Linked DNA regions of Neodiprion lecontei. The main gene of each other region encodes a partner of the protein of the gene in region 2 in a complex. Links are inferred from orthologs where the notes say so. Each region holds a gene or a part of one and is shown on either strand. Other genes may lie near its edges.

The links.
Region 1: RNA transcription, translation and transport factor protein (region 2) and protein archease-like share a complex: the UniProt entries of both Homo sapiens proteins name them as parts of the tRNA-splicing ligase complex. The link is inferred for Neodiprion lecontei from reciprocal best matches to the Homo sapiens genes RTRAF and ZBTB8OS.

What each region holds. Positions count from the first base shown.
Region 1 is NC_060263.1:23,993,644-23,997,577, forward strand, and holds protein archease-like, read right to left. Parts: upstream 2,590-3,934; 5' UTR 2,575-2,589; coding exon 2,435-2,574; intron 2,019-2,434; coding exon of another isoform or gene 1,994-2,018; intron 1,557-1,993; coding exon 1,352-1,556; intron 741-1,351; coding exon 555-740; 3' UTR 33-554; downstream 1-32. UniProt on the Homo sapiens protein: Component of the tRNA-splicing ligase complex required to facilitate the enzymatic turnover of catalytic subunit RTCB. Together with DDX1, acts by facilitating the guanylylation of RTCB, a key intermediate step in tRNA ligation.
Region 2 is NC_060266.1:184,685-188,273, reverse strand, and holds RNA transcription, translation and transport factor protein, read right to left. Parts: upstream 2,667-3,589; 5' UTR 2,544-2,666; coding exon 2,483-2,543; intron 2,380-2,482; coding exon 2,158-2,379; intron 2,065-2,157; coding exon 1,966-2,064; intron 1,873-1,965; coding exon 1,508-1,872; 3' UTR 760-1,507; downstream 1-759. Other genes in the region: AN1-type zinc finger protein 2A, read left to right, coding at 1-397; probable serine/threonine-protein kinase nek3, read left to right, coding at 3,090-3,171, 3,295-3,414. UniProt on the Homo sapiens protein: RNA-binding protein involved in modulation of mRNA transcription by Polymerase II. Component of the tRNA-splicing ligase complex and is required for tRNA ligation.

The DNA.
Region 1 (3,934 bases), on a different chromosome or scaffold from region 2:
ATTTACCATTTCAGAATTGGGTTAAAGTTCAGTTATTATAAACCGTGAGATATATTATTGTATTCGTATACAAAAAAGTACAAACAGTTATGTCATTTCATGTCACGAACAGATTTTTACGAATATTTTCGATGAAAATAGTATTAACATTTGTTCCTTAGGTCATATCGATTTAGTAACGCCACGTCTAATTATAAATACAAATGAATAAACCTCATTATTTGATCCTTAAAATTTCGATGAAGAGGATCTAGTAAAAAAAGTATACGAATCGACGGAACGTCTTCTATCGGAAGAAACAGAAGCGGGAAGGAGAAATAAAAGTGAGAGGGCGGAGGTCCACGCGTACGTTGACACGGCCCTGCGCTCCGAGGCTAAGAAGGGGGCCCGGTGTTTCTTTCGTAACGTATTTATTCGAACCCTACGATCTACAAAAGGCCTGAGGAGGAGAGGTAACTATCCCTCCCTCGAAATTAAAGTGTTTCCCAAGCCAAGGGTCCGAATGGCTCAACCACGCGAGGCGTCGGGAAACTTGCTCGGGTTACTACAGCGGATTAAATATCGATGATCACGAATACTTCTGGTCTCTCGGCGTCCGGCCGATCGAGTATTTGCATTGCTGAGTAGGTGATAGCCTTTACTTCTGTACCCTGAGGATGCTTTCCCAGCGTGAATTCTTCTCCTATTGCCGTTGCCTTGATCTTGAAGTTCTCTTGATCCATTTCAGTGATCTTGACTTTCTGCCGACAAGAAAAAAAATTCTTGTTCTTATTGTTATTATTATCAAATTTATCTCCTAATCGTAGCTCCTTTCATCGGTGAATATTTGAAAAAAATTGCTGATTGAATATTATATGTATTTTTTTTTTACAAACGTATCTACGTCCATGTTACCCAAGAGACAGATTACAATCTTGACGAATGTAGGTAGTTGTGAATGTAAACTATCTACCGTGGCGAGTCTCAACGTACCTACTAGGCGTCATGTGCAACGTAAAGTGGAGACACATGTTGTACATTTTCAAGTATACTCAAATAACGGCCGGAATGGACTGTGTACAGGGTGTGTCATTGTTCCCTTCCGGTAATACTGCACCGCGTACACATGTTTAGGTATACTTTTGGTGTACGTGTATATTAGGATAGATATATTTATTTTTAACCAAAAAACCGTGCAAAGTAATATCGATTTTGAATCTCGGCATCATTTCTTCCGTCCATTTATATACAAGCGTGGAATCTTTTCCGTTTCGAACAACAATTGTGCGTTTGAAGGTTAGCGAGATATTTGGACGTTCCAAGAACGGCGGTTAGCGACTAAATTCCGGGTAAACAAAATAAACGCACACACTTTGGGAATGATGAAACGCTCTGCACTGAACATAAAAAGCAGTTCATCCAAGAAATGAAATAGCAGGCTGTGGAGGTCGTCTCCCTCGGCTTCCACGTGGTGCACCTCCGTCATTTCTACTCGGTCCAAATCCGTCATGTAACCGAACATGGCCATAGCGCATTGTTCAAATGCCTCCTGCAAACTCTCTCCCCACGCATGCAATCTATAAAATATTAAATTCTTTCTATACTCTAACCTCCTGGGTATTCTTTACAGGTTTTACGCGCATATCTATGCATCATGTACGTCTATGTGCTACAAAATTACCAGAAGTTGTCGCAAAATTTGATGATCGTATCGTTCGTTTGGTTATTCCCAGCAAATTATTTTATCCCGTTATTCGTACTTTTATTTTAATTTTTTTTTTTTTCATCTTCTCAAAACGACCAATTGGGTATACGGAATAATACGAGTATATAGATCGCATTCTATTTCGAATTTTATTTTTTTCGATGACGTAGTGTTGTTACAATGTCGTTTTAACACAAAGTCAAACGTATAAATGGCAGAGAACTATCAGAACAGAATATACCTACTCGGGATTTTTGTACATAGATATGCATACGCGCGGTGATCAATTTTTATTTTTCAACAACTTACTGCACATCAGCCGTGTGGTCCAAATCTGTAACAAAATTTGGAAAATATTGTTTCATAACAGTGATTGCCATGCTCCTAAAATGCGGTAACTTTTCCCTTTTTTTTTTCTTATCTCGCGTAATAGGCGAAAATAATTGCGTGATCGAGATAAGATCGTCCATAATAATTCAAATTTTTAACGGTAGTAAATCTGTGGTTCGTTTTTTCGTAATAATGGTCGGAGAATGAAAATTTTATGCGAAAATATGGGTTTCTGGTAAGTTTTTAGAAACCCGTTCGTTTTCCCGCCAAATCTTGCGTTCGGGTCGGCTGATGTACACTGTGTGCATGTATATATGAGCTCACGCTTGCCGGCCTGATCCGGCGTACAATAATTGTGAAATTACGGGTTGTTGACATGACGTAAAGGAATATGAAAAAGCGTTATACTAATATTCTTACATTCGTATTTGATTGGCGGAATCGCTAGGTCTTCTGCTGATAAATCTTCCATCGTAGCTCTCACAGCTGATTACCCACGTGAAGACGCTAATCAGCTGTTCCTCCGTCTGTTTGCCTGACAGACCAGAGTGGCGAGTCATCAATGGTTATCCAGTTTGAAAATATGAAGTCTCAGGATCAGAGGACGCCACCGTACAGCATCCGTTGGATGCTTGGAGTATTGTTGTGCGGTGCGTGGCAGCACCAAGCGGCACAAATCATCATACCGACGTCTAAACCTCACAACTAACTTCTCATCGTTGCCGTAGTACCATCACACTGCATGGTTGAACCGCGGGCTAATTCGAATTCACACTAAAAGTATGTGGCATAGATTTGGTAAAAAAACTTATTTCACGATATTCGAACTAGGAAATATAATTTATTCAACGCTCTGCTGTAACGAGGATGTTAAAAAATTCTATGTACAAGTTTGAACTTTCGCAAGAAAAATATTCATCATTGTTTTGAAATTGAATTTGTAAAAATTCTGAATGACTTTGAAGGCTGCCGTTACAGTCTCTATATAATCAAAGAATTTACAGGGTTATTTATTCGTTGCTGAACACCAGTGCTATACCAATGTAGAAATGAATATATTCGTGGAGTTTAGATCCTAAGCGCGTTTCAGGATTGGCTGGCGCGCTGTTACGTGTTTCGAACCAGAGCCACACATCGACCGTTGAGTTCCCTAGCTGGCCGGTTATTGGGTGTATTTTATTTGCCACCTTTCGAAGACGAAAGAACTGAGAAACTCACATGATTAGTTAATATTTGAAAATCAGCCAATCAGCAGCTTTCGTTTCCGAATGATGGTCAATGAATCGCTCCCCAACTCACAGCATTGTCGCAGCAGCTATTTCCGTACGCTAGGGAACACAATGATCAACGTGTGTTCAGTGTGGATCTGGTCCGAACCACGTGATACCTGCGCCAACCAATCTTGGGATGCGCTAACGATCTAAACTGCCACGAATCTCTAACTATTTCCACATTGACATATCGCTGGTATTCAGCAAGGAATAAAGGACTCTGTATGAGTGATAACTTTTAATTAACAGTGATAACACTGCTTTCAGTCGTTGTTCTGACGTCTACTTGCTCCAATTCTACGGACATTTTGAGATCCTCGAGTTCGACCTCCGCATGTCTTTTCTTCATTTTAAAGACTCTGGCAAGTTCAGGAAAAGTCTCAAGCGTTTTCAACCGCCTGCACTAAGTATGATTTTCCCAGTTGTCAACAAAAAGCAAATGCTAAGTCCCAGGAATGACGTACTCCATGCGTACCCAGTGTAGTTAGTTGAAGACCCTGTTATAAATTCTGAATACTTTTCGTTACATTCGTTCGGTTATTTTCTACGAAATTGGGGCATTTTACGAGATTTCATAGACAGATCATTTAAAAATCACATATTAAATGATTCTAATGTATTAGAAACAAAATGTTTACTAACAAATATT
Region 2 (3,589 bases):
TCGTGCCAAAAGCAGGAGGAAAGTCTTCACCAACAAGTGTACGTCCAAGGGCTGCAAAATCAAGGAAATCGTCGCGGTCAAATGCGGGGACTGCGGGAAAAACTTTTGCTTGAAACACCGGCATCCCTGCGATCACGCTTGTGTGGGAAAAGAGGAAACCATGCGTCAGCGGAGGGTTGAAGCTCTTAACAAACAGGCCGAGAGTCAAGTCCCACAGAATAATCAAAATGCCAATTCTAGCCTGTTTACGAATCTTCAAGGAACTATCAGCGAGGACGAAGCCTTGGCCAGGGCCTTACAAGCCTCTCTTCAAGATGAAGAAAATACCGGGAGGATCGAGTCTTGTCAAGAGGAAGAGATTCCACTCGGGAACAAAGGCAGATGCAGGCTCTCTTAGTTCTTTTATAATTTATAAACACGATATAACGGTGACGGCAACGAAGAACAGACGTGTTGAAATCCTGGTAGAATTACTTGTCAACTGCTGAAGATGCGTTTTTTTTTTTTTTTTTTTTTTTAAATCTTTTCTAGAATTAGGCATCAAATATCAATTAGTAGGCGGGTTCTTACGAGCTATGGATGATCAAAAAACTGGACGTTTTCAAAATCCTATTCTATAATTGAGCCTATTACGGGAGGAAACTGAATTTCTGTCTTTTTTCACATTAAATTAAGCTTTAGTTTTATAAATCTAAATATATGAGAATTTGAAAGAAATATTGAACTATGTATCTTTCATATAAGCTTTTTTTTCGTCAGTTGCTCTTAAGTCGTTTACATTCACTTTAAATTTTAAATCAAGTCTCCTCAACTATTATACATAAACATATCCTTATTAGTTATTCTATCCAATCATGAATTCTATTTCACCAAGTCTAGTTATAATCGCAATGATGTAACAAATTAAGACTTCTGATCGCTGTCTAGTGATTAATTAATTACGCAATTTTTTGTAAATAATTTAAAAATAATCTATATACACATTGCGAAAAATCACGTTCCAAACTGCCTCTGTACATTCGTCATGATAAATAGTTACTACCAGCTTTATTGTAACACAAAAAAGAAGAAACTGTGTTATGAAACGAGTAAAAAGTTCTTTACTTGCAAATTTTCCTCTACTCTTATCCATACAATAAATATTTATTATAAACATATTGTGAAATCTGAGTTATATTCTTATCCATTAAACTTAGGTTTCAAAGAATTCCTCACATCTAAATTCATTCGATATCAATACAAGCAAGTGAAAAAAGACAATCAACGAATGTAATGCGATTGTATATTATAATTATTTATTAGTTTTGACCTATCGTTACATTCCATTATTCAAATACGCCTAACATATGACGAATCAATTTGTCTATAAATAGCAGTACTTGGTTCATTGTTAGAAATTGATATCAATTATTGTTATCAAACAATATTAGCCAATGAACGTCAGCAAAATTTTTAACATCCCATTCGTGTGTGTAAATGTGCAATGGGAATCGTAATGACTAACTGTTTATCTTCCAACTTTTCCAAGCTTCGTATCAGTCCTTGGATTTGCAGTGATATTTTGAACACTGACAATTGTTTCATTTATTCGTGTTTGAAGGTCCCTCAAATCCTGAATGTACAGCAATCTCAAGATTTTTGCCGCATTATTCAGAACTGGATCTCCCATATTGAATCCCAACTCAGCTTCCAATATCGGAAACTCTTTTCCCTTTAACACTATCGATTTTGGATTTAATAAAGTTTCTGCATTCAGTCTCATGCAAACTATCTTACTGCACGCTTGCAGAGTTACAAGGTGATCTGAATGTCGAGGAATGCAAAGTAGCTTTCGTAATTCTTCAATTCCGTTCTTAAACTCTGCACTGTGAACTTTAATCATCGAAAATAGAATTAAAAAATGTGAATACCGGTATTTGTCATGTTCGTAAGTTCAAAAAGTTTTGTCTGAAATATAATACTCACAGTCCAGATTGTCTAACGGGTTTGATGATTTTATGTTGGGTGCTACCGGTTTATTCATATCTTTCAAACTCTTGCCTGTTATCGGTTGATACTTTTTATCTGCAATAGTTTGAATTGAATGAAACTCAAATTTTCGTAAGTGCCTGAAAATAGAATTCAGTAGTACCCAAACAAACATGGTACGGTTCTTACAGTTATCCTCGAACTCCAGTTTGATGGCAAACCCGATCAACCATTCGAGCTGATCCACGGGCTGGGTAGTTATCGGACAAGCGACGTCCTCGCAATATCTCTTGAACGTTTCGGGCCAACTGGTTGAATTTATATCTCTGATGTCCTTTCGATCTTCAATTTTGTAGTGACGTATCTTTTGGTCTTCGAGCCAGACGACCAGTTTGCGAAAGTGTTGTGGGTCTAAAGACGATATTATTGAAATTTCAGAAAAATTGTTATCGCTCTTGTGAGAGACCGGAGGTTAAATTTTTGTATGTGTACCGGCTAACCGGTTGCGACTCACCATTCGCGTTTATCTTATCCCGGTCTATGTAATCTAGCGCTTTTAATTTTCTCTTAAACATTTTATAAGTGGAAAATTACGCGGTTATAATTTATTTACAATTCTTATTTAACGGCAAGACAAAGTACACCTGAAAGTCAGTGCTATACCGCAATTATCGACGGAGTAAACATTGTAAGGAAGTGAACGCCAAAGAGTATGTGAAGGCATGAAATTCACTCAACACCCCGCGAACGAGTCGATAGTTGGGATCGTGACTTGTTAGAAGTTTTCGACTGTAAAATATGGCGCGTTTTCACGCATGTCCCTGGATACACTTGTGAGTCGTTATTCTAAGGCAATGAATCGAGTTCATGCCAAGGCAGCTGGCAGCAGCGCCCCGATCAACGGTTTCAAACTTTGAAACGAGAAAAGCGTTATTCAACGCCGAAGGCGGTGCAAAAACGGGCAAAACAGCGGGAGCAAGCAACGATAGCGGGAAAAGAGACGGGTGACAGATTTTAATTAGCCGTCAAATAATTCTGATCCGTCAGTGAAAATTGTCGTCGGTTATCGCGGATCGGTTCAACGCTGTCTACGACGTTCCTGTGGTTCTGGAAAGGTAAACATGGTGCGGAAGAGGAAGCACAGCAGCGACGAGAGCGGCATGCCGGCACCCCAACGACAATTCCAACGCCTCACTCGAAAGCGTAAGCAATAAGCATGTCAATATTAACACGCGCCGTTAGATTGCCCTCTCAAATCGGACGGCGAGAAATGGAAAGAGTTCCTCGCCATCCCTAACCAATGGATCGTCTCCGTTAAAATTTCAGATCAGCGGACACTTATCGACGATGACAACGAGAATGCGGAAGCTTTGCCGGCGGCGATGTCGAACACCTCCTCAAAGACTATGAAAACACCGTCAACCGCATCGGGACGCAATCGAAAAAGTACAAATAAACGTCTTACTTTCCTTCAGTGTTTTATCTTGTACAACTGTATCTCATCATATGATTGTCCAACTTTTGATAACAGGGTGACCGAACTTGGCACTGTTGTTTATTTAATCTTGCATTAAAAGGGGAAAGGAAAATCAGTCAATCAGAAATTATCCTCATACAACTT